Linked DNA regions of Ovis aries. The protein of the gene in region 2 purifies or fractionates together with the protein of the main gene of each other region. This does not show direct contact. Links are inferred from orthologs where the notes say so. Each region holds a gene or a part of one and is shown on either strand. Other genes may lie near its edges.

Evidence for each region.
Region 1: the proteins of XPO1 (region 2) and NUP214 purify together in Homo sapiens (affinity purification with western blotting; 4 studies listed by BioGRID and IntAct, with this or other methods). This does not show direct contact. The link is inferred for Ovis aries from reciprocal best matches to the Homo sapiens genes XPO1 and NUP214.

Annotation. Positions count from the first base shown.
Region 1 is NC_056056.1:5,580,658-5,597,772, forward strand, and holds the start of NUP214 (nuclear pore complex protein Nup214), read right to left. Parts: upstream 12,074-17,115; 5' UTR 11,960-12,073; coding exon of another isoform or gene 11,915-11,959; 5' UTR 11,615-11,914; coding exon 11,570-11,614; intron 9,611-11,569; coding exon 9,415-9,610; intron 8,780-9,414; coding exon 8,628-8,779; intron 7,250-8,627; coding exon 7,051-7,249; intron 6,154-7,050; coding exon 6,083-6,153; intron 5,561-6,082; coding exon 5,497-5,560; intron 4,875-5,496; coding exon 4,771-4,874; intron 3,597-4,770; coding exon 3,490-3,596; intron 2,872-3,489; coding exon 2,805-2,871; intron 543-2,804; coding exon 416-542; intron 1-415. UniProt on the Homo sapiens protein: Part of the nuclear pore complex. Has a critical role in nucleocytoplasmic transport.
Region 2 is NC_056056.1:46,608,943-46,625,057, forward strand, and holds the end of XPO1 (exportin-1), read left to right. Parts: coding exon 1-13; intron 14-347; coding exon 348-486; intron 487-682; coding exon 683-864; intron 865-943; coding exon 944-1,100; intron 1,101-1,185; coding exon 1,186-1,349; intron 1,350-1,616; coding exon 1,617-1,751; intron 1,752-2,079; coding exon 2,080-2,263; intron 2,264-3,014; coding exon 3,015-3,121; intron 3,122-5,114; coding exon 5,115-5,309; intron 5,310-6,002; coding exon 6,003-6,171; intron 6,172-6,567; coding exon 6,568-6,702; intron 6,703-6,787; coding exon 6,788-6,947; intron 6,948-7,030; coding exon 7,031-7,127; intron 7,128-7,935; coding exon 7,936-8,082; 3' UTR 8,083-8,994; downstream 8,995-16,115. UniProt on the Homo sapiens protein: Mediates the nuclear export of cellular proteins (cargos) bearing a leucine-rich nuclear export signal (NES) and of RNAs.

The DNA.
Region 1 (17,115 bases), about 41 Mb from region 2:
ACAGACTCAGAGCACATGCTCGGGCCCCGTTTGGAAGTCTGTACTTGAGGCCTCCAATTTCTTATCCAAGCCATGGAACGGAGTATTGGGATACACCACCTGCCTGGGAGGCCCTGGGAAACCGGGAGGGGCAAAGAAACAAGGCTACGAAGTTGGTGTTGTGTATTCCAGCCATATTCTTACACACACAGAGACACACAGAGTGTGTGGCCTTGGTCAGTGAATATCCACTCAAATCAGACGGGTGTGGTATAGTGCACTCTGTCTAACTCTTTACACAGACACGCTACCACAAGCTGAAAGTGCACGGCAGAGAAAGTTCCATCAGGAAAATGTAGAGCTGGATTTGAATATTAACCATGATGGGAAGAAGACTATTCCTGCACGTAGCTTAGCTATGACAGACTATACTTACTGATGGTAATTTCCACTTGGTTAGTGTAATCTATGGCGACTCCCATGGGCAAGGAATCATCACTCTTGTCTGTCACAGGCAGTTCAGCTCGACTAGAATCCTCCAGCAGCCAAGATTCCCAGCTATTCTGGAAAAAAGAACAAGTAGAAGAAGATACAGCGTTGCTTAGAGCTTTTTCCAGCACTGTTCAAATAGGAGAGGAGAAAAAGGGAACTCACTTGGTTTAGTATTGCATTCCCTGGGACTCTAAAATCTGGAAACATAGTCTAAAAGCTACGAACTCCGCAGGAAGCAAGGGGTTCCTTTTCCAAGTCTTTCTATCTTTTCCTGGTGTACAAAGCTCCTGTCTGGTGAATAAATATCACTATCACGAACATCCTCTGACATGTCCTCCACCACATCTGAGTGGACTCCTGACACAGTGGGACCATCTGACAGCTGCATGGAGCCAGCCAGCAGCTGCTCTGAGGGATCTGCATGGGGACCAGGAGCGCCAGGTGACAACGGCTGCGGCCGTGAGCACACAGCCTAGAAAGCTGCCGGACGCCCCATGCTCACTCGACCACAGAGGCAGAGCTCTTGTCTTCCTAGTTCTCAGTGTATTTCCTCCAACGGTCAATCTTCCTGCCACCGGATTCCCTGAGAAGCCACATCTTTCCAATAAACTCCCCTTTGGCTCATGTTTGCTTGAGTGGGATCTGTTCCCTGCAACAAATGACTCCTGGTTTTTAAAAATCACAGCCATTTCGTCCAACTTTCAATGCTGACCAAAACTGGGCAGCATGAATTAAAGGAGGAATAATGCTCAACGAGAGACAGAAAAACAAAAAAACTGTTGAGGAAAGAAAACAATTGTGATCCAAGCCTTAGGCATGAAGTGAACAGTCACATTCACAATAACGTTAGTAAATGAAACAGGTTCCAACTTTGAAAAACAATCGGCAATACAACAATACACAAAACAAAGAAGGCTTGCTAATCACACAGGGCAAAATACAACCAACGTCAGCTTTGATTTTGTGGAGTATGAGATGCAGGTGACAACAGCTTACAGGTGGGCATGGAGGAGCTGTGCTACAGGCAAGGGTGGGTACTGAGATGGTCCTCTCACAGCCCGGAAGATCATGAGAGATGCTACATGGTAGAACTGTAAGAATCGAAAGTAAAAATGACTTACAGTTCAAAGGTAACAAGTAGAAGAGACTGAAACAGTGCTCTAATCCTATTGAAAGGAAGGACAGGAGTATAAAGGCCACACGTGAGCTAAACCCTCATTTGCATCATGGCCAATAATTTAAAGTTAACAATTGATAACCAGTGATGCAATAAATTATTATTTCGGGATAAGGAGATAACCATTAAGAGAGAGAGACCACAAGTTAAAAATGGTCTCTTTCAGAGAACAGGACAGACCAGGACAGGATGGGAAGGGCTGCTATTTCACGTATAAGCCCTTTTCCACTACTTGACTTTTCAACCATGAACATAAATTACTTTGATAAAAAGCAAAAATCAGAATGTTTCTTAATGTGTGAATACATAAAATACTTGTGTTATCAGGAGATTGTTACTGAAGTTAATCCAATTGGAGATTGTTACTGAAGTTAATCCAAGAGCAGCAAATCAAGAGTGCTGGACTCTGAGAGCTAAGCACTTATGGTGGGCCACCGTGCCACTCAAGAGAAGGGTGGATAAATGCTGAATGACTGAAGAGGCACAGGATGCACAGAACATTTTCAAACTCCAGGTAGACTTTTCAAAAGGGAAAGTTTTCGGCTGAGGAACTGTGTCTTCCGTGTAGTCTCTCTGCATAAGGGGAGTGTACCATGACAACCTCAGCCCACTCTGGCCTGCAAGGAGCACAAAGCAAGAGAAGGAAGATGGGGGCTTGTCTACACAGATGCTTTTAGCTTTCTGGTGGTTTTCCAAACAGAAAGTATTTCTCAAGAGTCACAGTTTGGTTTGACTTGCATGTCTCTCTTCCATAATCAAGGATGGGTTATAGTTAACTGAATAGAAGAGGCAGATTCAAGTAATAAGGAGAAAATAAAGACAGTTAAACAGAATAAAGCAGAAAAAGGCTCCTACACACCCAGGTACACTCGTATTGGAATACATTCAATTACGACTATGGGTATGAGGTATTCATGGAGGGTGGAAACAAACAGAGGGCTTTGGCTAACACTGAAGGAACTGCTGAATCCAGCACCCAAGTTTGTCCAACACAACACCCAAGCCATTTGGTCCACAGCTTTTTTAAGCTGTGCTCTCATCCAGAAACTCAATAAAAGGAGTGTGACTTCAGCTAAATCTTAACCTCACAGTTAAACCCCTCCAAAATCTCTCTCAGAACAACATCACATAAAAGTGACAAAAGAGAAACATTTACCTGGCTGCTTTGTCGCGCGAGGATGCTGACTTCTGTGGAAGCTGCGGATGCTGCCAGCACTAAATCCCTTCAAGGAATAAAACCGGAAGACCATTAAATTCAAACGGCAACAGCTGTACCTTGACTTGAGTCAGTGGTGACACCTACAAAGCTTCCCTAGATGTCAAGGAGAAAGGCGAGCTTTCTACCTCGTTGAAGGTAAGAAGATTTTGGACGTAAAGCGTACTTTTTAGTCCACAGGGCAGAGCCCTGGAGACTCAGCCAACTGTCTCCTTACTTAAGACAAAGGGGAGGCACTACAGAATCAGTTCAGATCCCAATAAATATACCACTCTGAACAGAGAATAACCTAACTGAAGCAAGAGAAACTTTGTTTCAAGAAATCCATCTTTCAAAGGGACACTTCAGCTCAGAGGGAAACTTTTAATATGTTCCTTAAATATCTGTATTTTCTTAAGTCATCAGTGGACTTATTGAGAAAATGGGATTTTTAAGTTTAGTGTGTATTCGAGGTATATAATTCAAGACTGGGGAAACAGATGTAGTAGTCAGGCATTATCCAACATGAGCTGAATATATGGTTAGGGCATCTCCAACCTCTATTCTCCTCTCTTACAGAGAGGAAACAAAACAGAACAAGCAGGACAAAATGACCCAGGTGTGCCCTCCCTCGTCCACAGCTCACCACTCTTCAACGAAGCTGAGGTAGTAATGATGCTGCCTCTCGGTACAGCTGCCATAGCAGGGCTCCATGAAGTTCATAAACACCTCAGGGTGCTTTTCCTCTTTTTTCTACATTGAACAGAATGAGAAAAAAAAAAATCTCATGGGTGATTTTTCTTTAATCCTACAAAGTTAAGAATCTCAAAAGATAAAATCCTTTAAGTTTTATGAAAAAAATTTACTGAGAAAATAAAAAAAGAAAATACATAGACACACTATAAAGACAACATTGAGCAATACAAAGAACAGAAACGTTGGCCATGGAGATTACTCAACTTCTCTGACAATGTTTTTCCCTATGTATGATGGACCTACACCTAAAGGAAATCATTCCTGAATATTCACTGGAGGGACTGATTGTGAAGTTGAAGCACCAATACTCTGGTCCCCTATGCAAAGAGCCAACTCACTAGAAAAGACCCTCATGCTGGGAAAGATCGAAGGCAGGAAGAGAAGGGGACAACAGAGGGTTAGATGGTTGGATGGCATCACCAACTCAACGGACATGAGTTTGAGCAAGCTTCAGGAGATGGTGAAGGACAGGGAAGCCTGGCATGCTGCAGTCCAAGCAGTCGCAGAGAGTCGGACACGACTCAGCAACTGAACAGCAACAACAAATGATGGACCTAAAAAAATCTACATCAAAGGCTGTTTTAACTGAGATATGAAAGGATATGTAGAAAGTTTCTAATCCAGGACACGGAACATAAACGGTACTCAGCAAATGCTAGTGTTAACATTATCCCTGGGAATAGAAAATCTTAATCTTGAAATAAGGCACCTTAACAAACTTATTTTTAAAATTTGACATTGTCAGGAACCCAAAAAGTTAATAAAAAGGAGGCACTTTTTTCTCATATCAGATTGGCAAAGATTAAAAATGGTACCACTGCATATTGACATACTTTGTTGTTCAGTCGTTGAATAAGTGAATGAATTTTGAAAATCAACATATTTTCTTGCTTTTCTAAAATGATTTCATCAGATTAACACCTATCATAACTCACAGTTTACAACTTAAAATTTTAGGATTTTTTTTCACCATATGGCTCAACAATAGAACGTGCTCTAAGAGGACACCACCATTTTGGTCCTCAGGCCCCTAGTGCAGCATTAAAAAAATCTCACACCTCAAGTGGTACCACTGCCAGTAAGGAAAGGAGAGAGACGCCTAAAGCCTCTAACTTTATTAGAAGACTTATATAATTCTCAAATAATCAAGACACCGCTTTCACACACATACCGGGAGCAGAGCCATCACCACATCTGGAGCCGTTTCCAAGGTCCCATCCGCCGCGGCATACACTATGGTGAATTCATAGGTGCCAATCCACAGAACGTCCAGAACTGAAAGACACACATCCTAATAAACCATCTCTGTGCTTGGAATAACCCCTGTACATTATAAAATTATCAGCTCATAGATAAACAAGTATCCAACTACTATAGCTTTTAAAAAGGTCTAGACTTCACTAAACGTAATTCACAAAGATTCAAAAAGCTCAAATTCATTCCAGAGTGGTATTTCACCCCCAGCAGATGATAATCAAAGCAAATAATGAAGAATTCTAATTAAAAAAAAAAAGTCAGGATCCATTTAACATCATTTACCAAGTGACACAGGTATCTACTAGAGAATTACTGTTACGGTGACTTAATTGTGTATGTATGCTGTGCTCAGTTATGTAGCTGTGTTCAACTCCTTGCCGCCCATGGACTGTAGACCACCAGACTTCTCTGTCCGTGGGATTTCTAGGCAAGAAGACTGGAGTGGGTTGCCATTTCCTTCTCCAGGGGATCGTCCTGTCCCAGGGATCGAGACCTAATTAGCTAGCTGAAACAGTGTTTTCACACAAGAGGCACCAGCACTTTCCTGAGCCGGTATGCAGGCCCCACATGGTCTAACATTTCTGCACCACAGACAGTGCCTCATTAGACGTTAGCCCAGTGAGAAAAGCAGATGCATTACCTCTGACGGGATGGTCTGCCTCATAAAATGGAGGACAAGGAATGACTTTCTTTTCCTGCAAAGTCTGAAAGAGATTTGAAAAAACCAGTGTCAAACAAAACAATCCCCAGACCGCAAATCCAACAACTGTATTGTCGTTTTACAGGCCAATGCCCTAAAAGAACATGGACCAAATTTCATGTAACGACTTTCTGTGCTGATAAAGAAGAAACTGAACCTGAACTTGAAGCCTGTCCCACCACATTCACCCTCTGTACCCTGCAGAGAACAGGAGGGATACACAGCAGCACAGGCCTCTGCACTGCCCGCGAGCCTCTCCTTCTCAACCGGGTGTGATCGGACATACACAGATTCTCTGCCGATTTATACTGAAGAGTACTCAGGAATATTATCTCTGGAAGACCACAGGAAAAGGATGACAGAGTGGGCACGCGACAGCTCTTTCCTGCATTCTCTTGGGTGCAGACAGATTTGTTGCAAGGAACATAAACTATATTTCAATAGGAAAAAACAGCAAAGATACTACCAAACCAACCCCAAAACAGTTACTTGATAAAAATGCTCTGAAGCCCAAGGCAAGACTTACAGGAAGATACTGGACCACAGTTCCATTCTGTTTCCCCACAGCCAGCTGCTTTCCTTTGGGGCTCCAGCACACTGGGTAAAGAAGAAAATACTACCAATTAAAAACTGAAGAAAATGGAGCAAACCGTGAGATATGTACCAAAACAGCCATGTAATCACCACTTCAGGCTTCCCTGGTGGTTTAGCGGTAAAAGATCCACCTGCCAATGCAGGAGGTGCAGGCTTGATCCCTGGGTCAAGAAGATCTCTTGGAGAAGGAAATGGCCACCTACTCCAATATTCTTGCCTGGGAAATCCCATGGACACAGGAGCCTGGCGCGCTGCAGTCCATGGGGTCGCAAAAGAGTCCGACGTGACTTAGCGACTAAATGGCAACAATTACCACTTTGTGTTCCTCTTTCTGTCAGTCCATGGAAGACTGTGGGATCATCCTTACTTGGCAAAGTAAAAAAAGAAACATCATGTCGATGACACAATCGAATTGTGATTTGTTACTGGGCCATTGAACCAGTTGCTAGAAAGGCTTTTTCAATGGAGTATTGCCCAGAAAGCTGTGAAGTGCAGAAAACTCCAGTTTTTAGATAAATCGAGGAGGATAGAAAAGGTTTTCAAATATCAAGAAATCTTTCTCTTGCTTCTATTGGATATTTTCTAATGTTTTCCCCCTAAGGTACAAATGACTGTTTCAGAGTCTGATCTTTCAGGTCAAAATAATTATTTCAACAACACAGTTCTAAACCAAACATTTCTATACCCAAACATTTCACCAGAAAACCCAAGCACACTGAAGGTAAATCATGTGTGCTGTGTGGCTTCAGGGACAGTAACTACACAAATAAAATACACTCTCTCCACTTCTACCAAAAAACAAGTATGACAAAGAGCCCTATTTGCTTTTTTCCTCAGAGATTAATTTTTAAATAGATGACCATTACCGTATGTTAAAGAGTAAAAGATGTTATTACTCACCAGACGTTACTCCTACTGTGGAAGGAAGGGTCGCACACACTTTCACTGTTTCTGTGACTTGTAGGACTGCAATGCTGCCGTCAGCCAGACAAACTGCCACCATGGAGGAGACTGTAGGGTTCCACTTCATGTCAATCACCAAGCCTCCTGCATCTTTTAAGAGCTTATGATATGCAAACGGACGCTTCTGCTGTTTAGCCTTTTAAAACAAATGCCCAGAGGCAAAAATAAACAGATAAATACAGAGACATTCAATGGTCCAAGAAAATTATTGAATATGCAAGTTTTCTCAAATTACAGTTCACTTTTCCCCATGACCATGAAAAAAAACTGTAGCCCTATACAACAGTCTATTTGTTACAGAAAATTTTAACATAATTTTGAAAATGGCCATCGATTATTGTAGCATACTCAGAGGGACTCTCAACAGGGAATACACAAATGCAAAATAATGGATAAAGAGCATATACTAAATAAAAACTGAGACTCTGCTTCTTAATAGTGTTGGGTCCTTGAATTTTAGAGAGTGCTCATCTTAAAATACTGCGCTTATTTTAATTGGTACGCAGAAGCCCCAGCAGGCTTCAAAATTCCAAAATTGCCTCAGTGAAAGATTTGTTGTAGAAGGCTAATGAAAGATTAATGATATAAAAGGTGCTTCAATATGTATGATTGAGCCCCTTCACCATTCACCTGAAACTATCACAACATTGCTAATCAGCTATACCCCAAAACAAAATTAAATGTTTAGTTTAAAAATTAAGAAAAAAAAGAGAGACCACCTGAGACCAGATTAAAGGCCTGCAGGCCCTGCACACAGGCTAATCTTCCATCAGCAACCCCGCCGTTGAGCCATTGCTGCGAAACTCCTTGCCAAAGCCTCTGGGCTTGAGGCGCAATTTCGGGGCACGAGCCTGCTGCATCCCCCTTTCCCCAGGAAAGGAATAAAGAAATTCCTTTCTACTGAAAAAAAAAAAAGTGCCTCAAACAAACCCCACCCCCCACCCCGCCCCCCGCCCAAGTACTGCTGGACTCTTGGTTACTTAAACTCTTTAGGCCTGTTTCTCTATCTCTGAGATGAAGACCATGATACCGAGTGTATGAGGCTAGTATAAAGCCAAGAGGGGTGGGCATGGATAAAAACAAGGCATGCAAAGCGCCAGCACAGGGCCTGGCACGCAGTCAATCTCAACACTCAATCTCACTGACGATTACCATTACTACACAGCCTGGAAAGGAAGAGCACTGCGGTGGGAGGCCAGACACCCAGGATGCAGGAACTTCTGACACTGTCTACTAACTCTGCGGCCTCAGGCAAGTCACTTAGGGTCCCTGGGCTCTGGCTGTCTCAAGTGTAAATGAGAAATGACAGCACCCTGGGGCAGGTGGTATTACAAAATAATTTCTTGAAGTCCCTATTATCGCAAAGATCTTGATTTATGATTCCGTAACTAAGGACCTCTTAAAAACCCGAATTCAACTCTAGAAAAAGAATTCAAAGGTCAACCAGGAACTTCTAGGTTATGATTCAACACCAGGCACTCTCCTTAGGTCCCTAGAGTTTGCCGGCAGCTTACCTCATTTGAGAATGTGCGAACATCAAAAAAAGCAATAATGGAACCATATTCACTGGACATCATGCACACGGACAGTGTGAGGTTATCGCAGCTCAAGGCCAGGTGATGTATTGGGAATTTCATAGGAACCAGCAAGCTTTGAACTTTATCAACTGAAAACCAAAAAACACAGAGCAGAAAATGGAATGTTTGAAGCATAAGCCACAAACTCTCTCTACTCAGGTCTATGTGACATCATTCTTGCATCTACATAAACGTACGCACACACACCCGGATACCAAGTTGTGCAGAACTGCAGCTTTCTTATAGATGGCTAATGCTGCAGTGAGTGCTGTCGGGGCTCTCCCTCATACGGCCTGGGGAAACCAACTGTGGCCAGAGCCCTGGCTGAATATAGTCCTGTACCATATTTCTGCAACAATGCTCCAAACAGTACACATTCCCCTGTGTTTGGATGATGCTATTGTGACAACTAAAAGGCCATGCAGCAAAGTTCTTCTCCTACAGAGCCAGAACCCAAGTTGAACTGAACAACAAAAAAAACGTGTGGCACCATGGTAAGCCGTTCTTCCCTCTGAGTTCAGAGGAACAAGTCACCGGAAGAGAAATACAAAGGAGCAGAGAGAACACCCAGGAAGGCGTCCAGCAGCCCATCTAGCACTCCCTCTTCTTGGGGGTCAACCTCAGGACTAACAGTAGTTTTGCTATGTAAAACTTGGGAAGCAGATGACGTTAGCACTTCTCTACGCTCCTCTCTCTATCATGCAACAGAAACCAAGGAACTTACCTATTTTATTAGGATCATCTCCAGGTTTATTCTGAATAAGAAGATTTTTAGTAGAAAAAACGTGCAATCCACTGGCTCCACCAGCAAAGACCAGGCCGTATTTGTTGGACACAGAAAGCAGACTCGAGCGTTCCTTGGGCAACTCCTCAGGAGAATCAAAGATTCTCACTTTCTTCAGTGCTCTAAACTGAAAATCCTATGGTGCAGGGTCAAAACAAGATCAATTCAGGACAAACAGGACGTTAGATTACCTGTCATATTCTGGTACAGCAAAATATATATTACCCTAAGAGTAAAGACTGTGTGGCTGGTTTGACCCCTGGGTGGGGCAGATCGCCTGGAGGAGGCAATGCCAACTCACTCCAATATCCTTGCCTGGAAGATTCTATGGAAAGAGGAGCCTGGTGGGCTACAGTCCATGGACTTGCAAAAGTTGGATGCAACTGAGCATGCACACGTTAAGTTGTACTATACATATTTTTTTCCCTTCAATTCTAAATCTATCTTTAAATCAAGGTTTTAGTGAAAAGAATGTAAATTTCCTTTTGCTTACACTCTAAGACATAAAAACCAAAGACAGCCTTTCTCAGCCTCCATTTGTGTACCTTTATGGTGTTTCCTATGGCTTCCCTTGTGGCTCAGGTGGTAAAGAATCTCCCTGCAATGCGGGAGACCTGGGTTTGATCCCTGGGTTGGGAAGATCCCCTGGAGAAGGGACAGGCTACCCACTCCAGTATTCTGGCCTGGAGAATTCCATGGACTATATATAGTCCACAGGGTCGCAAAGAGTTGGACACGACTGAGTGACTTTCACTACACTACGCTACATGGTGTTTTCTACAGGATCCCCACATACTAATTCCCTTGGATGTGATATTTAAACATATTTGGTAAAAGAGTAACTGAAATAATCTTCGTAATTGCAACTGTGTATGGTGATCAGAAATCCACACAGATTTCCAGATGAGACCATAGTTCAGTTCAGTCTCTCGGCGACCCCATGGACTGCAGCATGCCAGGCTTCCCTGTCCGTCACCAACTCCCAGAGCTTACTCAAACTCACGTCCATTGAGTCAGTGATGCCACCCAACCATCGCATCCTCTGTCGCCCCCTTTTCCTCCTGCCCCCAGTCTTTTCCTGCATCAGGGTTTTTTCCAAAGAGTCAGTCGCATCAGGTGGCCAAAGAATTGGAGCCTCAGCTTCAGCATCAGTTCTTCCAATAAATGTTCAGGACTGATTTCCTTTAGGATGCACTGGTTTTATCTCCTTGCTGTCCAAGGGACTCTCAAGAGTCTTCTCCAGCACCATAAAGTTTTCAGTTTTTTGTTAATTCTCATCCTGATAACCTCTGGGTCTTGGTAATCAGAAACTCAATGGGAGACCACCATTTTCTGAGTCTGTGGTTCTAAAACCTTTTTATCCTTCTGCCCCAACCTACATGAGGGACAGGGCACACTCTCATTGGGTTGGTCACCCTTGGCAGAGATTCTTAAGAAGAGACTTCTACTCTTAACATGGTATGGATTACTACTTCCTACTGCATTTCAGTGAGTTGTTGTCTAAATGCCTAAAATCTTCCTATGACTTATTAATATTTCCTTTCTATGGACATGAGTGTGAGCAGTCCATGGTGTCGAAGAGTTGGACATGCTGGAGCGACTGAACTAAGCTGAGATTTGGATCATCTGGTCCTCTCAAGTTTCCTGACTTCAGAAGGATTTCCAGTGCCAAAAACGGACCTCCAAATCTAGTTAATTAAAGGATTTGTGGGCTTCCGTGGTGGCTCAGATGGTAAAGAATCTGCCTGCAAAGCGGCAGACATGGGTTTAATTCCTGAGTCAGGAAGATCCCCTGGAGGAGGGCTTGGCAACCCACTCCAGTATTCTTGCCTGAGAATCCCATGGACAGAGGAATCCGGGGGGGCTACAGTCCATGGGGTCCCAAGGAGTCGGAAACGACTAAACACAACAAAAGCTCCTGTAGGATAAGGGATGATCCCTGCTCTGCGTTAAGCAAGCCTGGGTTACAGGCTTGAAATTCAGCGACAGAGAGAGAATCTCTCCTCTGCTCACAACAACCTAGATTTCACTCCGCCTGTCAAGGGCGGCTTTGGGTAAGTTAACTTTCCGAGCCTCTATTTGCTCCTCTACTTACCAAGTACTTCCTAGGGTCGCTGTGATAGTTACCAACGCCTGGCATGCAAGTAAACGCTCAATAAACAACAGTTATTCCCATACTCCGACGACCACATTAAAGTAACCACGATAACTCAGGAGGCTCGCACAAGACCAGCAGGGGACGCGGAAAGTACATTCCGTGGGGCTTTCACGCCGGCTGCACGGCAGAGCGCTCCAGGACGCTCTGGAGACAAGAACTTGCATCGCCTCACACCGTTCAGTCAGGAGGCGGGGCAGCGGACACCCGCGCTTCCCGGGTCAGGGAGGCGCCAAGGCAATACCAGGATTAAGGAAGGGTGGGAGGCCCTGGCCAACACCTGACCTTCATCTCCCGCTCAGGGATCACGGCATCCATTTCGTCTCCCATCGCGCGGCCTCAGTTGGTGAAAGGAGCCCCCACCGCCGCCGTCCGCGGCCTGGCCCACACAGCCCAGGTCTTTCCGAGGCCAACTTCCTCCCCTCAGAGCTTGCGACGAGATGCATAACTCGCACTTCCGGCGCGCTTTTGGTGACGGCACGCATTTCGGCCCGCGGCGTGGCTGAGGAAGGCTGAGGGGACCTTCTGAAGTCGCGCGGCCGCCTCCTGGCCACCGCCTCCCATTGGCCGGCTCGGAAGAGGAGGAGGCGTGGCCTGGCAGTCACTGCGCCTGCGCCCGGCTGCTCCCAGGCCGCCGCTGTCGTCTGCAGGTGGCGTGGGCTCGCCTCGTGTGGGTTTCCTTTAGTCGGTAGTGCAAGCGCGAGATATCCACGCTCGTTTCGTTGAGGCTTCACAGTAATCTTTGGATGTAGGTGGTTATTAATACTTTCGATTTCAAAGATGTTAGGAACTTGAGAAATATTTCCAAGGAGCAGCTCCTGAGAAAGGCTTTGGACGGGGTGTGGAAGGAAAAGGTGTTCAGAAAATTGATGGGACGGGGCCTCTCCCCTGGTGTTTCTGAAGGCTGAAAGGGGAGATTAAAGGGCCCCAGCGATCAGCTTTGTTTACTCCTTTTAAGGTAGTCATTTCTGGAGCAAGAGCCAGTGAAAGTGAAAGTCTCTCAGTCGTGTCCGACTCTTTGCGACCCCATGGACTATACAGTCCATGGAATTCTCCAGGCCAGAATACTGCACTGGGTAGCCTTTCTCTTCTCCAGGGGATCTTCCCAACCCAAGGATTGAACCCAGGTCTTCTGCATTGCAAGCGGTCTCTTTACCAGCTGAGCCATGTGTAATTGAATATTCAAGACGTCCTAGTCACCTAGGGATTATCATTGCCATTTAATTGATGAGGCAACTGGAAGCACAGGGAAGTCAAGAAGATTCCCAAGTTCCCCTCAGTCAAAAAGTGGTGAAGGCCTGATTAGAATTCAGCATGTCTGGATATGCTGATTGCCAACTGTTACACAGTCCAAAGGAGAGATTTTTGTAGTGGAATATTATAGACACTCTAGGACACAGATTCTTAATTTGGATCACATGGGTCAGCTCCAGGGGGTGTATTGTGCTGCTTACTATTTGGTTTTCAGCAAACTGCTTATCTCCTCCAAGCCTGCTTCTCATTTTTCAAGCAAGGCTGATACACTAGAACCTTACTCATGGGGTTGCTGTATGCAGTAAAGGAAGGTCAATGTCTAACAGCCTGGTACACAGATACAGTCATTCACTTTGTCACTATGTGAGCTAGCTCTTCTGAATTTCCTGAGTGTCAGAGCCATCCCCAGGATACACCAGTCAAGACATGGATAAGTTTGTATGTTTTATTTCCAGTCTGTAGAGATGATATCCAGTATCACACACACTCACACGCACACACACACACACATACTGCATCCACCTTAACTTGCCCGACACACTCCTTCCTTTTGAATGGCAGGGACAAAGCCATACTTGGCAGTCCCCAAGTTGCTGGTTACATTAGTTAGATTTGGTCTTTCAGAAAGAAGGCAGCTGACATCTAAGAAGCTGAGCCCTTAGCCAAAGAAGTAAGAGTCCTATAGCTAATAACCACAGTCTGAAATACATGCAGACCTCCCTTTCCAGGAACCACTCTTGAGACTCTCTCCCTTCAGGAGCTGCATTCCAAGAAATGATGAAGGAACTGGTGGGGTTTCCCGGGACACTCCCCATCCAATGAGAGAACCCTTTCCTGCTCTTTCGAAAAGCTGAAAACACACCCACTTGCTCTCCTCCCTTAAAGAGGCTTCCTGCAATCTTGTAAAGTGTGTAACCACTGCACTAAGCCTAGATGGGTCTGCCCTCTTGTCTGAGTAAGGTACAGATACACTATGATGAAAGGTCAAGGAAGGCATTTCCTTGCTCAAACGTCTCAGCCTGTCCCAGAAAGGAGAGGCAGTGGGAAGGGGAGGAGATAGACACTTGCTCAGCTAAGGATCTCGGGGGTGGGAGCAGGGGAGGAGATGTGGGGGTGAGATTTTACATTTACAGGGAGGAATGTTTTGCTGGGGTTTAAACTTCAACTAGGCTCATGCATTTGAAGTACCTCCTTAGACTGAAGATCAGCCAGTCATGGCCGAATAATCTTGTTCCTGAACTGGTCAAGACCAGTGGATTAATCCAACCTGGCCATATCCCCACCCCCTACCTGCTCCACTTCCTCAAAAACTGTCGTCAAGTCAGCTCCTTGGGTCCTTGATTATGGGTCAAAGGAGCCACGGGGAGCTCACACTGGCTCCAGCCTCCAACAGCCCCCAGACCTTCCCACTTGAAGTTTTTCAAAGTCTTGTGCAGGACTCTTGCCCAGTCTTGGGCCCAGTTAGGCCCCTAGGATTGCAATGCAGTCACCTCATAGCTTCCTCTTTCCCAACATTCATCACCAGGGTCTGAATTCCCCACTAGACTCTAAGTCTGTCCTTTTCAGTACTGGCCGGTAACAGGTGCTTATAAACATGTGCAATGGATGAGTGCATCTAAGTCCTGAGTGGGCAGGGGAAGGGACTATAGAATACAGGTGGGATCAAGGCTGACGGCCCTGCTGATCCTGCCTCAGAGGCACTAGGAAGGGTGAATCCTGGCCCAGGGCCCTCCCCGAGGGTTGACCTAGGAGACTGCCCCTCCCTGTCCCTTCCCTTGTTTTCATCACTGACTGAGGCCAGCCCAGAGCAGAGACGAGGCAAGGGCAGAGGGTATCTGAACACCCAGGCCCCAGTCCAGATCCCCCATCTCCAGATAAACCCCTGACCTTGGACAAGGCACTTAATCCCTGTGGGTCACCACAGTTTTGTCACCTGTGAACTGAGAGGCCTGCCCCAGCTAACCCACAGGGTGGCTCAGGGCTCTAAAACTCTAGTCCATAATAAAAAACACAGGTGACCCTGATCCAATTCCCAGGCTCAAGGTTTTGAGTGATTTGGAAACAGAGAGATGAATCAGAGAGACAGTGGGCACAGCACATGTCAGGACAAAGTGGGGTGGGGGTGGGGGCTTAAAGCTTGTAATAGGTTGTCAATAAATATCTGCTGAGTGGCTGAGTGAATGAATGAGAACGAATGAATGAGTGGTGTACGGAAGGTGTGGAGGCAAATGAGGAAGCAGAGTCAGGTTTCAAGCAGATCAGGCAACCTATTTCTCAGCTCCTGGCTTAACAGTGGTGTGCTGCCTCTCTGCCATGAGCACTGAAGTCCTCGCCCGCCTACCCCATCGCCCTCAACATCCTCCCTGAAAGGTGAGACTAGACTGAGCTGAACCCCTCCCCAAGGCCCCAGGATCCCCTCCACCTCTGAAGCCCCAGCAAGGGTCAGGGGGTACTGCAGCCTCCTTCTGAGCTGCCTGTAAAGGTGTGGCCGGGGGCAAGATTAGAGGATTCCTCTGGAAACTTCTGGAAGGGCTCACATTGCCAAGCCCCTCTCCTCGTCTCCTTCTGTCACCTCACTGAGAATAAGACAAGGCGTGGACCGGGGGAGACCAGCCGGGGAGGTGGGACCCTGCGTGGCCACATCCTAGCACACCCAAGATCCCTGTCTGAGGAAACCCTAACGAGACCTTACAGCCTTATCCCAACTCCAGGGTCTTCTAAAAGTGGGCTGAGGTCTTCACCAGGGCCAGGCCAGGATGCCAGGACTCAGCTCAGAGACCTGGAAGGACAAAGAGTGCCAGCTGCACGTGCGGGAATCACAGGCTCTGGTCTCCCTGTCCTGGCCCTGTTCCGTCTGGTTTTTGGTTTAATGTCAGCCCTTCTGCACAGGGAGGGGAGACGCAAGGAAAAAGAGAGGGAGGCGATCTGGACTCCCCAACCCAGGGCCCCTTTAAGGCAGATCATTTGTGCTATACAAAGAGATCACTGATTCTGCTGAAGAAAAAACAAACACACGACGACCAAACAAAACGAATAAGAGGTCACAGTGAGTCACGAAGGGTGAGGTCAGGAGGGAGGAAGAGAGTGGGGAGGGCGAGGCAGGTCCAGGCAGGGGTCCTCAGGGCAGGCTGGCGATGTCTCTCTCTGGAGGGGGCCCGACTGGCTTGGGGCTGCCCTCATTGGCTTTTCCTTCGAACATCATGACTCTGGTTTGGAAGTGGTGAGGAAAAAAAAAAAGAAAACAACACAAAACAGGATTAGAACTCTTTTCCTCATCCAGGGAAAGATCATCCCGGCCCTCACATCTGCAGGGACCACCACAGAATGCCTTTGCATCCTCTCTCCAGAGGGATTTCCCCAGAAGCCTCTGCAGGCAGATGGTCCCATTTTACAGAGGAGAACACTGAGGTGCCAAGGGGCAATGTGACTCAGAGCCACACAGGCAGAATGAGATTCCAGACTTCAGACTTCTGGGTCATGTGCCTCCCCCGACCATGCTGCCTGGAGGAGGCAGGGCTAGTCTGCGCTGTGGGTCTGCTCAAAACCCAGATCTTCAAAAATCTCCCACTGCTCTGACAGTAAAGTCTGGGGAGCAGAGGGTGGGGGTTCAAGGTATAGCCTCAGGAAGGAATCCCAGCCCTACTCCTTCCCAGCTGGTGCCACAAGCAAGATACTCAACACATGCTCAGTGTTTCCAACTAAATGTGATGATGCCCAAAGCGCTCACATCCTGGAGCTTTTCCAAGCGACAGTGTTCTCCTCCCTCTGGTCTCCCTCCCTGGGTAGGCTCCTTCAGGCCCCTGGCTCTGAATCCCATCCAAGGTTCGATCGTCCACAAAGGGCCTCTGAGCACCAGACCTGCACAGCCAGCTCCCTCCTCAACCTCTCCCCTTGTGTGTCTAGGGGCACTTCCAAGTCAATACATCAAAACTGAGCTCAAGTCCCACCTGCCCGCTGCTCTTCTCTCAAAGCAAACTGCACCATCACTCAGTCAGCTCAGAACCTAGACCTTACAACCATCAGACTCCTTGTTTTCCTTTAAACCTGGAAGCAACCCTGCCAGCTCTAACTCCAAGATCACCCCCGACTCCAACAGCCCCTGCCCACCTGCACTTCAGCCCCTCCAGGCTGAGCACCTCATTTCTTACTTGCACAAGCGTGTGAGTCTCCTAACAACCTGCCTGCAGCCACTCTTCCTCCAGTGCAGTCAGGGAGACCTTTTAAAAGTCAGC
Region 2 (16,115 bases):
TGTATTGTCCAAGGTAACAACAGTGTGTGGTTGAGTGTGCTTTCTCTGATTTTGGAGGACCAGATGAAAATGCTGGCTTTTATTTTTTGGCTGATTCTATCCAAGCACAATCTGTGAGTTTGTTAGAAATGCAAATGAGATGAAGGAAAGTTAACAGTTGTTTTTGTCCATGTTTAGATTGAAATTTATTGTAGAATTACATTTTAAGTATGTTTATTGTTTTATATTGTGGGCATGATTGTGTTTGGTATGTTGGTGTTAAGTGCCATTTTTTGAGAGTGGGAGTTATATTTGATGTAACTAATTTCAGAGATCTAACAGATTTTTTTTTTTTAATTGCTGAATAGGTCCGTTTATTAATGGTTAGTAGAATGGCTAAACCAGAGGAAGTATTAGTTGTAGAAAATGATCAGGGAGAAGTTGTAAGAGAATTCATGAAGGATACAGATTCCATAAATTTGTATAAGAATATGAGAGAAACATTAGGTAAGTTAATAAATACTATTAATTTAATCCTTATTTTTAAAATTGTATTCTTTTGTGGAAATACTGTTTAGGAAACATGCTTAGTTTCTGAGTCTGTCAATAGCCATCCTTATTAGAGTGCTGTTGGTCTTAGTAAAAATCTTTTTGCTCATTAAGTTTTGGATTTTAAAACGTGGAATTTTTTTCTTTCCTGTAGTTTATCTTACTCATCTGGATTATGTAGATACAGAAAGAATAATGACTGAGAAGCTTCACAATCAAGTGAATGGTACGGAGTGGTCATGGAAGAATTTGAATACATTGTGTTGGGCAATAGGCTCCATTAGTGGAGCAATGCATGAAGAGGATGAAAAGCGATTTCTTGTTACTGTTATAAAGGTATGTAAGAGATAGGTGTGAACTAGAACCTTGTTAGTGTATTTTACTATAAATGACTGAAATTTTTCTTACTTTACAGGACCTATTAGGATTATGTGAACAGAAAAGAGGCAAAGATAATAAAGCTATTATTGCATCAAATATCATGTACATAGTAGGTCAATATCCACGATTTTTAAGAGCTCACTGGAAATTTTTGAAGACAGTAGTTAACAAGCTCTTCGAATTCATGCATGGTAAATCCTGTTTGCTTAATATATTTTATTTTTGCTTAATGGAAAAGGCAAAAATTTTATTGATATTTGTTTTTGTTTTGTTAAGAGACCCACGATGGAGTCCAGGACATGGCTTGTGATACTTTCATTAAAATAGCTCAAAAGTGCCGCAGGCATTTCGTTCAGGTTCAGGTTGGAGAAGTAATGCCATTTATTGATGAGATTTTGAACAATATTAACACTATAATTTGTGATCTTCAACCTCAACAGGTATGTGGATCAGTAAGCATATTTTTCTTAGAAAATAACTAATGAGAATTCATTAATGGGGGTAGAATGCCACTAATGGATTCAATTCAAGTGTTTCTGTGTTTAAATTTTTCTAGTGAGGCATAAATTTAATTAGAAGTGTGTTAAACTGAATTGCTACTTATTACTGATATGTTAACAAAATTAGCTTGTTATGTAAATGAATTATTTGTATGTGATTTTCCTTATTATAATGCATACAAGTAACATGTCTACCTTTTAATATAGGTCCATACATTTTATGAAGCTGTGGGGTACATGATCGGTGCACAAACAGACCAAACAGTACAGGAACATTTGATAGAAAAATATATGCTACTTCCTAATCAGGTTTGGGATAGCATAATCCAGCAAGCAACCAAAGTAAGTTTTAGTTACTTTCTGTAAAAGTTCTAATGGAATCTTAAGAAAGTTACATTTACAGAAGTAGTAAATTTTATACCTTGACATGTATATCTGATCCATAGTGCTTTTTGTGCTTTTGCACATTGAAAGAATGGTAGCATTTTTATTCTGTTCGGATCATATTTTGGGAAATACTTTGCTCTATTCTTCAGTAATAAAGACTTTTGCAGTACTTTTACACTTCAAGATTATATATGTAATGGTGGTTTTTAGTGATGTGGGTAATTTTTTTTGCTTTGAAAAAGAATTCTATTATGATAAGTGGAGTTGTGTTTTGTTCTTACAGAATGTGGATATACTTAAAGATCCTGAAACAGTCAAGCAACTTGGTAGCATACTGAAAACAAATGTGAGAGCTTGCAAAGCAGTTGGACACCCATTTGTGATTCAGCTTGGGAGAATTTATTTAGATATGCTTAATGTATACAAGTGCCTCAGTGAAAATATTTCTGCAGCTATTCAAGCTAATGGTAAGCAATTCTGAATTCTTATGGAATAATATATTAAGTTAGTTCTACATTCACTGCCTTCAGTTCAGTGATCATCAGTTCAGTTCAGTCGCTCAGTCGTGTCCGACTCTGCGACCCTATGAATCGCAGCACGCCAGGCCTCCCTGTCCATCACTATCTCCCAGAGTTTACTCAGACTCACGTCCATCGAGTCTGTGATGCTATCCAGCCATCTCATCCTCGGTCGTCCCCTTCTCCTGCCCCCAATCCCTCCCAGTATCAGAGTCTTTTCCAGTGAGTCAACTCTTCGCATGAGGTGGCCAAAGTCATAAGCATTTAGCACTTTTGACAAAATACCTCCTGTGTTTTAGGCAGTCCTCAACAATTTTTAATGAGTTGCACATGCCCCTTTCCCTTATAAAATTATTCTATTTCCCAGGAAATTCATCTGTGTCCTCTTGTTTTTTGTGGCGTTCTGGGTAGCTCAGTGGTAAAGAATCTGCCTCCCAATGATCTGTGGGTCGGGAAGATCCCCTGAAGGAGGAAATGGCAGCCCACTCTAGTACTCTTGCCTGGAAAAATCCCGGGAACAAAAAGATGCTAGCAGGCTATAGTTCATAGGCTTGCAAAGAGTTGGACATGAATGAGCAGGAGCACTCTTTGTCTTCAGGTTTTCTAATGGAGAATGGAAACAAATAGTATCTGAAGTACATGTAACTGCCAATATAGAATTTTAGTTGTCAAATTGGAGTCCACCTGATTTGTTTTTTAGGTGAGATGGTTACAAAGCAACCATTGATTAGAAGTATGCGAACAGTAAAAAGAGAAACTTTAAAGTTAATATCTGGTTGGGTGAGCCGGTCTAATGATCCACAGATGGTAAGTGAAGTGTCATTTTTGTTTTTTAAAGTTGATACTGCATTCTATAGAACGTGTATATATTCTGTATGCATTTAGCTACTTAAAAGGTAATTTAGATGTTTACATTTGGTGTTACTTTATAGCATTCTATTTATTGGAGTTTTGGGGGTCCATTAAAATAGTAAGATCCCATCTCCAGGGGATCTTCCCAACCCAGGAATCGAATACAGGTCTCCTGCATTGCAGGCAGATTTTGTACCAGTTGAGCCACCAGGGAAGCCCAAGATACATACCTTCCTCCAAATAAATTGCTGTTGGTAGGGGGAGGGTGGTGATATAATAAGGTAGTTGAGATGATTGGGTCATTTTTATTTTCCATGGATAGAGTTCAAATGAAATTTTTTTTCCTGATGGTTTTGGGAGCAATTTGTAAAGCTGTCATAAGAGCTGTTTGCCTCCTTAGTGGGAATAAGCAGTTTTATAGTTGAAGGTTTGAAAGTCTTCCTGTCAGTCTTAAATGGTTTTCAAAAAGTAATTGGCTCCATATGCGTGAACTTGGGGGAGCTATTTATGTTTAGTTATTGTTAAACCTTTTGTTCTTTGGATCTTTGGAACATTCCGATAAATCCTTTTCTGTTCATCGCTGTTGGATGGAAGTAGCATTGAGCACTGTGCTACTTACTTTCATAAATTTGATATTTCAATATTGTTCCTATTAATACTGGAAAGTTTCTTCATGAAATTACCAAGGTATCAAACTAGTTTACAGCTAAGATTTATGTTGAACTTTGGGGCTGTGAATTCAGAGATAGTCAAATAATTCAGATTTAGGGTGTAGGAAAATAAATTCAATGTTAAGAGTGGAAATATGAGAGTGGTCAAGGAAAGGATAAATGAGGCATGGGTATGAAGTATACAGTATGGGAAATAGTGTATAATAGTCAAGAACTAATATTTTTAAGGTAACAGACTATAAATTTAATGTGATCATTTTAGAATATATAAAAATATTAAATCACTTGACTGTGTTAATAGGAACTAATGTCATGTTGTAGGTCAAAAAAAGGATGTAGTGTACAAACATGGTATATAAAATTTACACTGCTGTATGTTTTCTAAGAAAGTTGAGTAAATCTTAAGCATTTTTATCACAACTTTTTGCCTGTTTATATGAGGTGTTATATATGAAATATCTATGATCACTAAACTTACTTTTCTATAATCATTTTATAATGTATGTAAGTAAACTTGTAGAACTTAATCACGTCTGAGTAGAACTTGAAGAAAAAGAAGGGAGAATCGGTTCTAGTTAAGAGAAAACCTAGTAATTAAACAAAAATAATTTTGTGCTTATCCTTCAAATCTTGCTAGGCCTGTTTTGTATATTGGGACACTACTACTGTTTAGTTAAATGAAACATGATCATATTTATTGAGCACATCTTAATGGAGGATGCATTATAAAGCATAGAGTTTACACCTTAGACTGTTTATTGGGAATCTCGGAAAGCCTACCACAGTCTTTCTGGCATAGTTTAGTTCCTTTTTTGAGAGTAAGTAATGGTTATTATTTCTGATTATTAAACTATCGGTTAGCATTCATTAAATTTAAAAAAGCATTGATGGTGGATGTCTGATTCTGCTTCGATACGAATACTTCGGTGTACAGTTAGGCTTTACCCTCCCTGTTCCTCACGCACACACAGTATCCCTAGAATCCTGGTCCTGCCAGAATACTTAGAGCTAGTCACTTGATTTCAGGCCCCAGTTTTCTTTAATGAGTATAGATTTAAGCTGTACAATGTCCGTGGCCCTTTTCTGCCTATTTTAATTTCTTGATTTTTCTTTGTAAAGTTCTAATACACCAGAATTAAAGCCATAAGAGTTTCCGTTTTTCAGTAGATGATCAACCTAAATTAAGTCTTACAAGGTGACATTGACCTAGCTGCTTAGTAAGAGTTAGCAAGTGCCTGAATTAAAATTAAAAGTTTTTTTTTTTTTTTTTTAAACAGGTAGCTGAAAATTTTGTTCCTCCTCTGTTGGATGCAGTTCTCATTGATTACCAGAGAAATGTCCCAGCTGCTAGAGAGCCAGAAGTGCTTAGTACTATGGCTATTATTGTCAACAAGTTAGGAGGACATATAACAGCTGAAATACCTCAAATATTTGATGCTGTTTTTGAGTGCACATTGAATATGATAAATAAGGTATGCAATTTGCATTTCAGTTACATAATGGCAAGTTCTACAGTTAATCCATATTACTTTTAAAAGCGTAAATGATGGCTGTCTATAAGCATAGCATAAATTTTAGGCTCTGATGTTAAAACATTTGCACTTCTAGATAAGAAAAGTACTTGTTTTTAAAATTTGCCAAAGATTTTTATTCAAATAGCAGCTAGCGTTTATTTAAAACTTGAAACATTTTAGTCACTGGGTTTTTAGTTAAAGTTCAGTAAAGTGTAGTATATGTTTATAAAGAATGGGAAAATGTATTAACCAAAAAAAAACATGTAGATACACGTGTACACATTTACACAGTAGACTTCTCTAATCTGTGTTACTGATCTCAAAGTCACTTTAAAGTGGTAGCAAATCTCTGGCAAGTTTCAATGCTAATAGAAAATGTGATGGTCTTCGTGGGTTTTGTTGAATTCTCTTTATAATAAGATGACCTTGTATTCCTTCATATTGACAATTCATTTGTGTAATAGTATTTTTGTTCTCCCTTACCAGGTGAATTGTATTATCTGTGAGTTTGACTTCCAGTAGGCCATATATCTTATGGGATCCACTAACAACTCCAAATATCTATAATGAATTAGAGCTTGCTTTCCCTCTTCCATTAAATACAATTTAAGGCATTGAAACTTCTATTTTGTTCCCACCATTTATTTTTAGGACTTTGAAGAATATCCTGAACACAGAACGAACTTTTTCTTACTACTTCAGGCTGTCAATTCTCATTGTTTCCCAGCGTTCCTGGCTATTCCACCTGCACAGTTTAAACTTGTTTTGGATTCTATTATTTGGGCTTTTAAACATACCATGAGGAATGTAGCAGATACAGGTAAATACATAAAAATGATGATCTTTATTTGCCTGCCAACCCACAATCCACATACAGGCACTTACAAATAGACACCCATCTATCTGTGTATTTATAGTTGCAGACAAGAGGTATCACTTCACTTGTCATGGGGTTTTTTTGAGTGCATCAGTAATGGATGTGGGAGAGAATCAACTAAACCTTAAGAAATAATGGAAAGGTGGTAATGGTTAATTAGTCTGTAAGTAAGCAATCATTGATTCTAATTTAACTTCATTACTGAGTCAAGATAATTTAGGCAAATAATTGTCTTTAGCGTAAAAAAAAAAAAAGAGAGGGACTTTGAATTAATAGCTGAAGTACTATTGTGAATGTTGTCAGTATGGAATAAGTTGGTTGGCTTTATATGTCTTTTAGGCTTACAGATACTTTTTACACTCTTACAAAATGTTGCACAAGAAGAAGCTGCAGCTCAGAGTTTTTATCAGACTTATTTTTGTGATATTCTTCAGCATATCTTTTCTGTTGTGACAGACACTTCACATACTGCGGGTAAGAATTTAAAGCTATAAAAATTCTATGTTCCTTCTGATTGTTAGTACATCTGAGAGTTTAATGATGTCCTTCTTACCAACAGGTTTAACAATGCATGCATCCATCCTTGCATATATGTTTAATTTGGTTGAAGAAGGAAAAATAAGTACACCATTAAATCCTGGAAATCCAGTTAACAACCAAATGTTTATTCAGGAATATGTGGCTAATCTTCTTAAGTCTGCATTCCCTCATCTACAAGAGTAAATATCCCTTTTTATAAACTCAAATTTTTTAAGGTTTTTTTTTTTTTTTAGGTGATTAATCATTGTGTTTTAACTTGCAGCGCTCAAGTAAAGCTCTTTGTGACAGGACTTTTCAGCTTAAATCAGGATATTCCAGCATTCAAGGAACATCTTCGGGATTTCCTGGTACAGATAAAGGTACGTATTTTATTTGCAGTTGCAGAAATGTTGAGAGTAAATACTGATTGCATTCTTGCATCCAGAATTGACCACTTTTTGTAATGAGCAAAATGAGTGTGCTTTTAAAATATGTACAGTCTTACTCTTTTGAGATAGATTACAGAAGGAAAAACTTTAAATCAAGGCCAGAAGAGGAGATTGGTTTAAAATGTTTGGGGTAACATGTCTATTGCAACATTGTGATTGAAGCCCATAGATACTTTTAAAGGAGTGGGGGGAATGAAATACGTTGATAGTTCCTTTTGAGATTTTCCCCATTGTTAGTAAAGAATTCATTTTAGGGGGAACCATGGTGATTAGCAGATACCGGCCTGTTATTTACTGCTGTTATGGTGCTTCATTGACTTAGGGGAAAAGGAATTTTTGTTGTATCGTTGTGTTTTAAAGAAATCAAAAAGAGCTGATGAATTCTTGTCCATATCTATTAAATAAGAATTGATAACATAACATGCAGGTTTTTTTCCCCCTCCAAAATACAAAGTTTTATTTTTTTTTATTAAGTGTAAAGAAAAGCTAATTCATACAGAGTTATAAAGGATGAAAATTGATAACATAGCTATGAGAACGATGATAATATACTTAAACTTGATCATTAGTCTTTCTTATTATTACTCCTGAAGTATGTTTTATATGTGGCATTATACTATCCCTCTTTTGTAATCTTTGCCTCCAACCAACACATTTAGTCTTATTATATATATAAGCCCAACGATTGATGGATAATCTACATTGCTAAGTATGTTGACAGTTAACTATCTTTTCACAGGAGTTTGCAGGTGAAGATACATCGGATCTCTTTTTGGAAGAACGAGAAACAGCCCTTCGACAGGCTCAGGAAGAAAAACACAAACTTCAGATGTCTGTCCCAGGCATCCTTAATCCACATGAAATTCCAGAAGAAATGTGTGATTAAAATCAGAAGTCATGCTGGGTTTTTTTTTTTTTCTTTTTTTTCTTTTCCTCTGCAACTCTTGTTAGCAGATGAAAACAGCATCTGGATATTTGTCGACCAAAATGATGCCAATTTGTAAATTAAAATGTCACCTAGTGGCCCTTTTTCTTATGTGTTTTTTGTATAAGAAATTTTCTGTGAAATATCCTTCCATTGTTTAAGCTTTTGTTTTGGTCATCTTTAGTTTGCATGAAGTTGAAAATTACGGCATTTTTAAAAATTTTAACTTCATCCCCATTTTGTGGCTGGGATGGGGGGAGGAGGCAAATCCAATTTGAACATATACTTGTAAATTCTGATGCAAAAGTATACAATTTTTCCTGTAAAGAATACCAATTTTTAATTAGGGAGCATTTTCTTTCTAGCCTGTATTTCAGTCTAGAAGAAAAGATAATGAGTAAAACAGATTGCGTTGTTAAAAGGATTATAGTGCTGCATTGTCTGAAGTTAGCACCTCTTGGACTGAATTGTTTGTCTAGACTACATGTATTACAAGTCTGTATGGCAAGTTTGCAGCAAGATCATGTGCATATCATCCCATTGTAAACGACTTCAAAAAATATGGGAACACAGTTAGTTATTTTTACACAGTTCTTTTTGTTTTTGTGTGTGTGTGCTGTCGCTTGTCGACAACAGCTTTTTGTTTTCCTCAATGAGGAGTGTTGCTCATTTGTGAGCCTTCATTAACTCAAAGTGAAATGGTTAAAAATATTTATCCTGTTAGAATAGGCTGCATCTTTTTAACAACTCATTAAAAACAAACAAAACAAAACTCTGGCTTTTGAGATGACTTATACTAATTTACATTGTTTACCAAGCTGTAGTGCTTTAAGAACACTACTTAAAAAGCAAAATAAACTTGGTTTACATTTATTTTCCCTTTATTGGCTCAAACTTATTCCTGTATTAATGAAAGTGGTTATTTATGTTTAGGTATTAGGTAACATTTTTAAATGAATTTTGATAACTGTTGACTTCCAAGTATTATTTCTAAGGTTATTGAGTAAAGGCAGCATTTGTATAAAACGAATATGTTCCTGAGATATTTTCTGTTCCCAAGAAACCAATCCCTTCTGTGACAGCTTGGCACACATTTTACCTTTACTTGCAGTTAAAAAGCATCTTTCCTCTGGTTAGGAGCTGGGGGTAACAAAGCTGTAGATTCCCTACAAAATATGAAAAGGGAATAGAAAAAGGAAACCAGCTTGAGTGAGCCTGTTTCTAGATGATTCTATATACTTAAACCTAAGCATTTGAAGTGCCTCATGTTTGTGGAGAATCAGCAATTTCATATAATTGCTATTCTCCTAACTTTTTATATAGGTCTTTGGCAAAGATTGGCATTATTTCAGTAGAATGTAATCATGCTTTAAAGTCTTTTTAAAACAAAAAATAGTAAGATGTTTTAAATATACAGAGAGGAATATTGAAGTACTTTGTTTAATACTTTAGCTCTGTTAAAGCTTTGATTTTCTTACTGGTGTTTGCATATAAATAAGTTTTCTTAGAACAGTAAAAAGAGTTCAGTTTCAAATCATATGCTGTATTTGAAATCAGCTTTCCATCAGTGGTAATGTATACTTTTCTTACCCTACAGCCCCATTGCCTACCTTGATATGTTTTGAATGTTAAAGAAACCAAGCTTTGGCCAAAATGAGAACATGCTAATAGAAAATTAAACTTATTGTGGGCATTTCTTGCTTGAATAAAAGTTAATCATATCAGGCCAGCCTCAACGTGTTTTACAAGAAAGCATACTGATAAACTGGCCATTTGAAATGTTTGGCTCAGTGTTGTTTAACTCTTGCAAAAAGGCAGCGTCTCAGTTATAAATTGTGAGAGAGAACTGGAATTGTTTTATAAGTATGTCTGAATCTTGGTTTAGACACCCATTAAAATCATAGACAAGTCATTTGAACTGAAAATGGTCTTACAAAAGCTAATTCCTGAGTCAAGAGGATATCAACAGTAGGATGCTGTTCTAACATTTTAGCATCTCTGAAGATCTGTGGCACCTTAAAAACTGGTGGCTAGGCAGTACTGTTGATAAATTTCCCTGCTTGTCCATGTGCGAACTCAATAATTGTATGCATTTATTGCTATTTAAAGTTGTCTTACAAAAAAGTATTAAAGTGTCTTAGATTGGTCAGCAACAAAATACTACTTCTATGCAAAAAGGCATACGAAGGCAGCAGGATATAAACTTGATAAGGGGGGGTAAATAATCATTGGAAGAATAATCACACTTCCATATTTACTGACATCAGTGGCAACCAAGTTGTTTTTGGGACCTAAGCAGGGAAGCTGTCAATAAGCTATAATGCAAAGAATTGTTCATCAAATGCCTAGCAGTGCAGTTTTATTTATAAGAAGTTGATACTGAAGTTTCAAAAAGGCTTCTGTAACCAACTTTTATTTTTAGTAAAGACTGTTGTCATAGTTGAAAGTGTTTTCTTGTTCTTGATGGTGCATAAGAATACATATTGCAATTAATACCTTAGAGTTGGGAAAAAAGCAGAAAGTAATGAAAGTGAATTCAAACTTATAGTGGCTATCAACCCGCCATTGAGTCAGGTCTATGATAGGATCTAGGATGCAGATTTGATGCCAACAGACATGCAAGGATAGACTTGGTAAAAATGCAGTATTAGAATACTGTGAGATTAATGGTTCTGATGTGCTGGTGTATGTATTGGATGTTCCTTCCGGAAGGTTTCCAACAATTCCATTCTGTAATGTGTGAAGACTCAAGCCTATAGAAAAGTTAAGAAGTTTTTGATGTTCTGATTAGAAGAAACTCAAGGACAAAATGTCTGGATTATAAACAGTCACATAAAAATATAAATAGTACTTTCAGTATTTAAAGTACTGTGGTAAAATGAACAGTAATTGAGTAGAGTTGTAAAGTTTCTTACCACTTTTTGTGCTTTTCATCCTTGACACTCTTGGTAAAGTTAACCATAATTCCATAATATATCTAGTCCATGTTTAGGTTTCCCCAGCAGTTCCTAAGAATGCTTTTCATAGTTTGTGTTTTTCCCAAATGAGTACCCAATTTTAGGTTCATGCCTTTTGCATTTGTAGTTTTTAATTTCAGTGGTAATTGTTTTCTTGAAAAATATTTGGTTACTAATGCAGATCTGTATTTTAAAGTATCTTCTCTTTTTTCCTGTTTAAGCATAGTTTATATTCTGTATTGTCTGCTCTCCCAACTAACAAATCCCTCCTGCGCACCTCTATCCAATAACTTTGCTCTCAGAGTACACTTACTTTTATTTACTGTTTTATTCTAGAGTCCACAGGGAATAAGCCCCTATTAGCTTGCGAAAGTTACATATTTAATAATATCTTTATAAATCAGCATTTTAAGGTGTTTTTGCTCATGTTACAAGAAATACAATAGTTGCTTGTAGTTTATTTTGCAGTGCTCATGTCAGTGGTGTCTAGAGAACCAGTACAGATCTTTGGGAAGTGCAGCTTTATGATAGAAGATTTAGGCAATTTAGAAATTTTTTTCTGTCCCCAAGCACCTGGGTTATACCCCAAGGTCAAATATGGTTGTGGAAATTTCAGGTTTTATACTTGGATCCTGGGCAGCATGGAAAATAAACTTCCCCTTTTAAGACCCAGAAAAAGTTGCAGAACACTTTGGAATATTCTGATTTCCATAACCCTGCCTAATAAGAAGCTGAGAAATACCATGCTAAAGCTGTATGCATTGCTGCTCTGAATAAAACTGGTGTTCTATTAATGAGAAAGGGGGAGAGTGAATTAAGTCTTACTATAAAAGTTGAGCGAAAAGGACAAAAGGCAGTTGACTCCATGAGAAAATAAGTCTAAGCTTTGAGGTATTGAAAATACCAAAGAAATTGCTCCTCTTACAGTGGCAGTTGTTTTTGTCATTCACTGTACACAATTGAAGAAAAAAATCTGTACAAGGTGGCAAACAAAACCATTCACTCCTTGTCTTTGTTACTAATGGCCCTGTGTTGATTTTCAAGGTAACTGCTGAAGCTAGTATCCTGACGTACCAAGATGAAGACTTGAAAACCTGAAGGAATGGAGGCATTACAGAAGTTGAGGGAGTTAGGCCATGCCTAGGAGTTGGGAAAGTTTATATGGGAAACCTATTATTTACTTGGTGAAAAAGGGTTAAAGCCATAGTTCTTGCAAGCTGGGATACACTTTTTTTTTTTTGTAGTCCAGCAGGATTATCCATAAGAGATCCATTATGGGTGGACGGAACGTTAATTTTCTGTACTTGCTACCCTAAACTGAAGTTCCTGACCCAGAACATCTTTTTTCTACAACTGTGACAGGAAAGTAGGCCTTCTCCCTTTGTCTCAAAAGTTCTGAGATCAGATATTACCAGACTTACTCTGCATGTCTGCATCAGGTAAGAACCAACCATTCCTAAAGTATTTCTGGCCTTTTTGTGATTCATCTAGCTCTTAGACACAGAAAGTAGTGGTGTGTTTTCCATTTTGTTCTTCAAACTATTGGCCCACAAGAAATCGTATTCTTGAGTCCACCTCAAGTCTGAATCTTAATCAGACATTTGAAAAGATGGGACCAAGGCCTGAGCTTTGGTGTTGACAAGCCTGCCTGCCCTTTAGGTTACATTAAGCATTACAACTGGTGTGTTTGCTTGCTTATTTTAAAGACTAAGCAGAAATGATTAATCTGTCTATAGAAAAAAAATTTCTGCTTCAGAAGGTGTTTACAACTAGATCACAAGTGAGCTGTTAAGAGGCTACAACGTTAAAAATAGACCATGTAACAACTACTTAGACTATCTGTGCCTAGCCACATAGAAAAATCATCCTGATTTTAGTAAACTAGATTGCTCCCCCAGGATGTTCCTCTTTATTCTGTGAGGTGATGTGCAATAAGTTCCACTTGTGTAAGTATTTACACATACAGAGCCTTAGCTGACTACGCATTGCTTTCACTGGGCTGGGTAGGCTCTGCTTGTCTCTTAATTTAAAATCTCTTGTGCTTTCTGACCATCAAGATAAAGAAAGGACTCCCTTAGAAACAATTCTTTTAAAAAAACATAGTTAATTTTTCACCTTTTATTAATTCAAACTCTCCAAAATGTATTAATTTAAAACAAATCTTGTTTATACAACTACATGTAGTTATATAGCTAAGGTAGGAAATGGTGTTGGTTCATAAATTGTACCTGTTAATACTCTGCTAAGTTATCAAGTTGTCAATCTCCTTAGTTCTTCAGGGTGACCTGAAGCCATGTTTTGTCATTTTGTCTCCATGAAGCAGCTGTGTGAATCTTGTATCATTTAAAAGAACTTCCAGAGTTTTTCAGAGTTCAGTCATCACATGAGAAAATTAAATAGATGATTAATATTAATGAGTTTCCTAGATTGAAAGAAACCGTAATCATTGAGTAGCTATAGCGTTCCTTAGTAGATACAAAGTCACAACCTCAGGAAAGATTCACAGTTTTTGGCAAATCTGAACTATAAGTTTCTCAGGCTGCCTTTGCAAATAAATTTTAGAATGTGCCTGCATTGTTGGTCATCTACTCCATCAAGATGATTCATTTCAGAATATCCATTATTCTAAAACTTGGGATAAATCTTGGAAAAATATGCATTCAAACACTGCATAGTCCAGCTGAGGTTCTGTGAAAGCGTATTGTCTTTCATGAAACTTCTAAAATAGAAGCTGAAAGCTTTTAAGTTTGGAAAATACTGTTTCTCACTGATTCTTAGAAAGAGGCTTTCTAAGAAAAATTCCAGTAACTATGCATTCAAATGTCAAGAAACCATGTATTCACAACTTTTCTTCTGAGTTTTGAATTCGAAGAAGGGGAAGAAAGAGAGGTGACAGTGTGAAACACCTTACCAGTTTTACCAGCATGATAAAGTTATAGTCCCCCCTCTTCCAAAACCTTTACTTTGCTTACAAGGAACTTACGAGCTATGCCTTCTGGAATTGTCCCTTGGAAATTTTCACACTGTGAGCCAACAAAATGAATAAGAGCTATGACTTTTGTAAAGTGGGAGGTTGAATATTTCAAAGAATTGAGGTAAACTAGCAAATGGCTGAAACCTTTTGGGGCAGATCACTTCATAAAGTTCATATTGAGGAACATGCTGCTGCTGCTAAGTTGCTTCAGTCATGTCCAACTCTGTGCAACCCCATAGATGGCATCCCACCAGGCTCCCCCGTCCCTGGGATTCTCCAGGCAAGAACACGAGTGGGTTGCCATTTCCTTCTCCAATGCATGAAAGTGAAAATTGAAAGTGAAGTCGCTCAGTTGCGTCTGACTCTTAGCGACCCCATGGACTACAGCCTACCAGGCTCCTCTGTCCGTGGGGTTTTCCAGGCAAAAGTACTGGAGTGGAGTGCCATTGCCTTCTCCGCATATTGAAGTTGATTCCCCTTAAAAGCACTTAAAGAGTACCCATTGAGAAGCATTTGTGCACCTAAAAGAAGTAAGCAAGCCACTGTGAAGATCTCTGATCTTCAATATGCAGTATGGGTCAGGTTATACCTGTTACCTTATCAAGTTTTGCACTTAGAGAATAATTAAACATGAGGTTCATGAAGTTTAGACTTCAGAGCCCCTGTCTCACAGGAGTCCTTTCCAAAGACCTTTGGGGATCTTAGCTGTTTATCAATAACTTCAGTAGTTAAGCCATAGCAGCCCCAAAATATAATAATACATTAGAGGTAAATTTAGAGAACAAAAAGCTTAATTAACTGATTTTTTCTTAAGATTTGGAGATTATTTATTTTGACTGTAATTGGTCTTTGTTGCTTTGTGAGGGCTTTCTCTTCTAGGTCCTCCTGTACCAGCGCAGCGACCACTCCTTGGACATGGGGTAGCTCCTCCCGGCTGCCGCCCCTGACCTCAGACGGTGGAGGAGGGGAGCTACTCTTGGTTGCTCCAAATTCAGAGTTAAATTGAAGAAAGTAGGGAAAACCACTAGACCATTCAGGTATGACCTAAATCAAATCCCTTATGATTATACAATGGAAGTGAGAAACAGATTTAAGGGACTAGATCTGATAGAGTGCCTGATGAACTATGGACGGAGGTTCGTGACATTGTACAGGAGACAAGGATCAAGACCATCCCCATGGAAAAGAAATGCAAAAAGCAAAATGGCTCTCTGGGGAGGCCTTACAAATAGCTGTGAAAAGAAGAGAGGCAAAAAGCAAAGGAGAAAAGGAAAGATATAAACATCTGAATGTAGATTTCCAAAGAATAGCAAGAAGAGATAAAGCCTTCCTCAGCGATCAATGCAAAGAAATAGAGGAAAAGAACAGAATGGGAAAAACTAGAGATCTCTTCAAGAAAATTAAGATACCAAGGGGAACATTTCATGCAAAGATGGGTACAATTAAGGACAGAAACAGTATGGACCTAACAGAGCAGAAAATATTAAGAAGAGGTGGCAAGAATACACAGAAAAACTGTACAAAAAATCTTAATGACCAAGATAATCACGATGGTATGATCACTCATCTAGAGCCAGACATCCTGGAATGTGAAGTCAAGTGGGCCTTCGAGTTAATAAGTTACTACAGTATTATTGACCATATTCCTTATGCTGTATATTACATCCTTGTGGCTTATTTATTTTGTAACTGGAGGATTGTACCTCGAATCCCTTCACCTGTTTCACTCCAAGTCTGTTCCTGTTTTATGTTTATCTTGCTTTCATTTTTCTTTTATCTTTTTATTCTTTGTGCTGAGTCTTCATGGCTGCTTGTGAGCTTTCTCTAGTTGCAGTGCGTGAGGGTTGCTTTTCACTGCAGCACACAGGTTTCTTTTTGTGGTGGCTTCACTTGTTCCAGAGCATGGGCTCTAGAGTTGTGGTATACGGGCTCAGTTGCCCCACAGCATGTAGAATCTTCTGGACCCGGGATTGAACAAATGTCCTTTGCATTGCTGGGTGGATTCTTAGTGACTACATGACCAGGGAAGTCCCTGTTTTGATTTTTAGATTCCACCTTTGTAA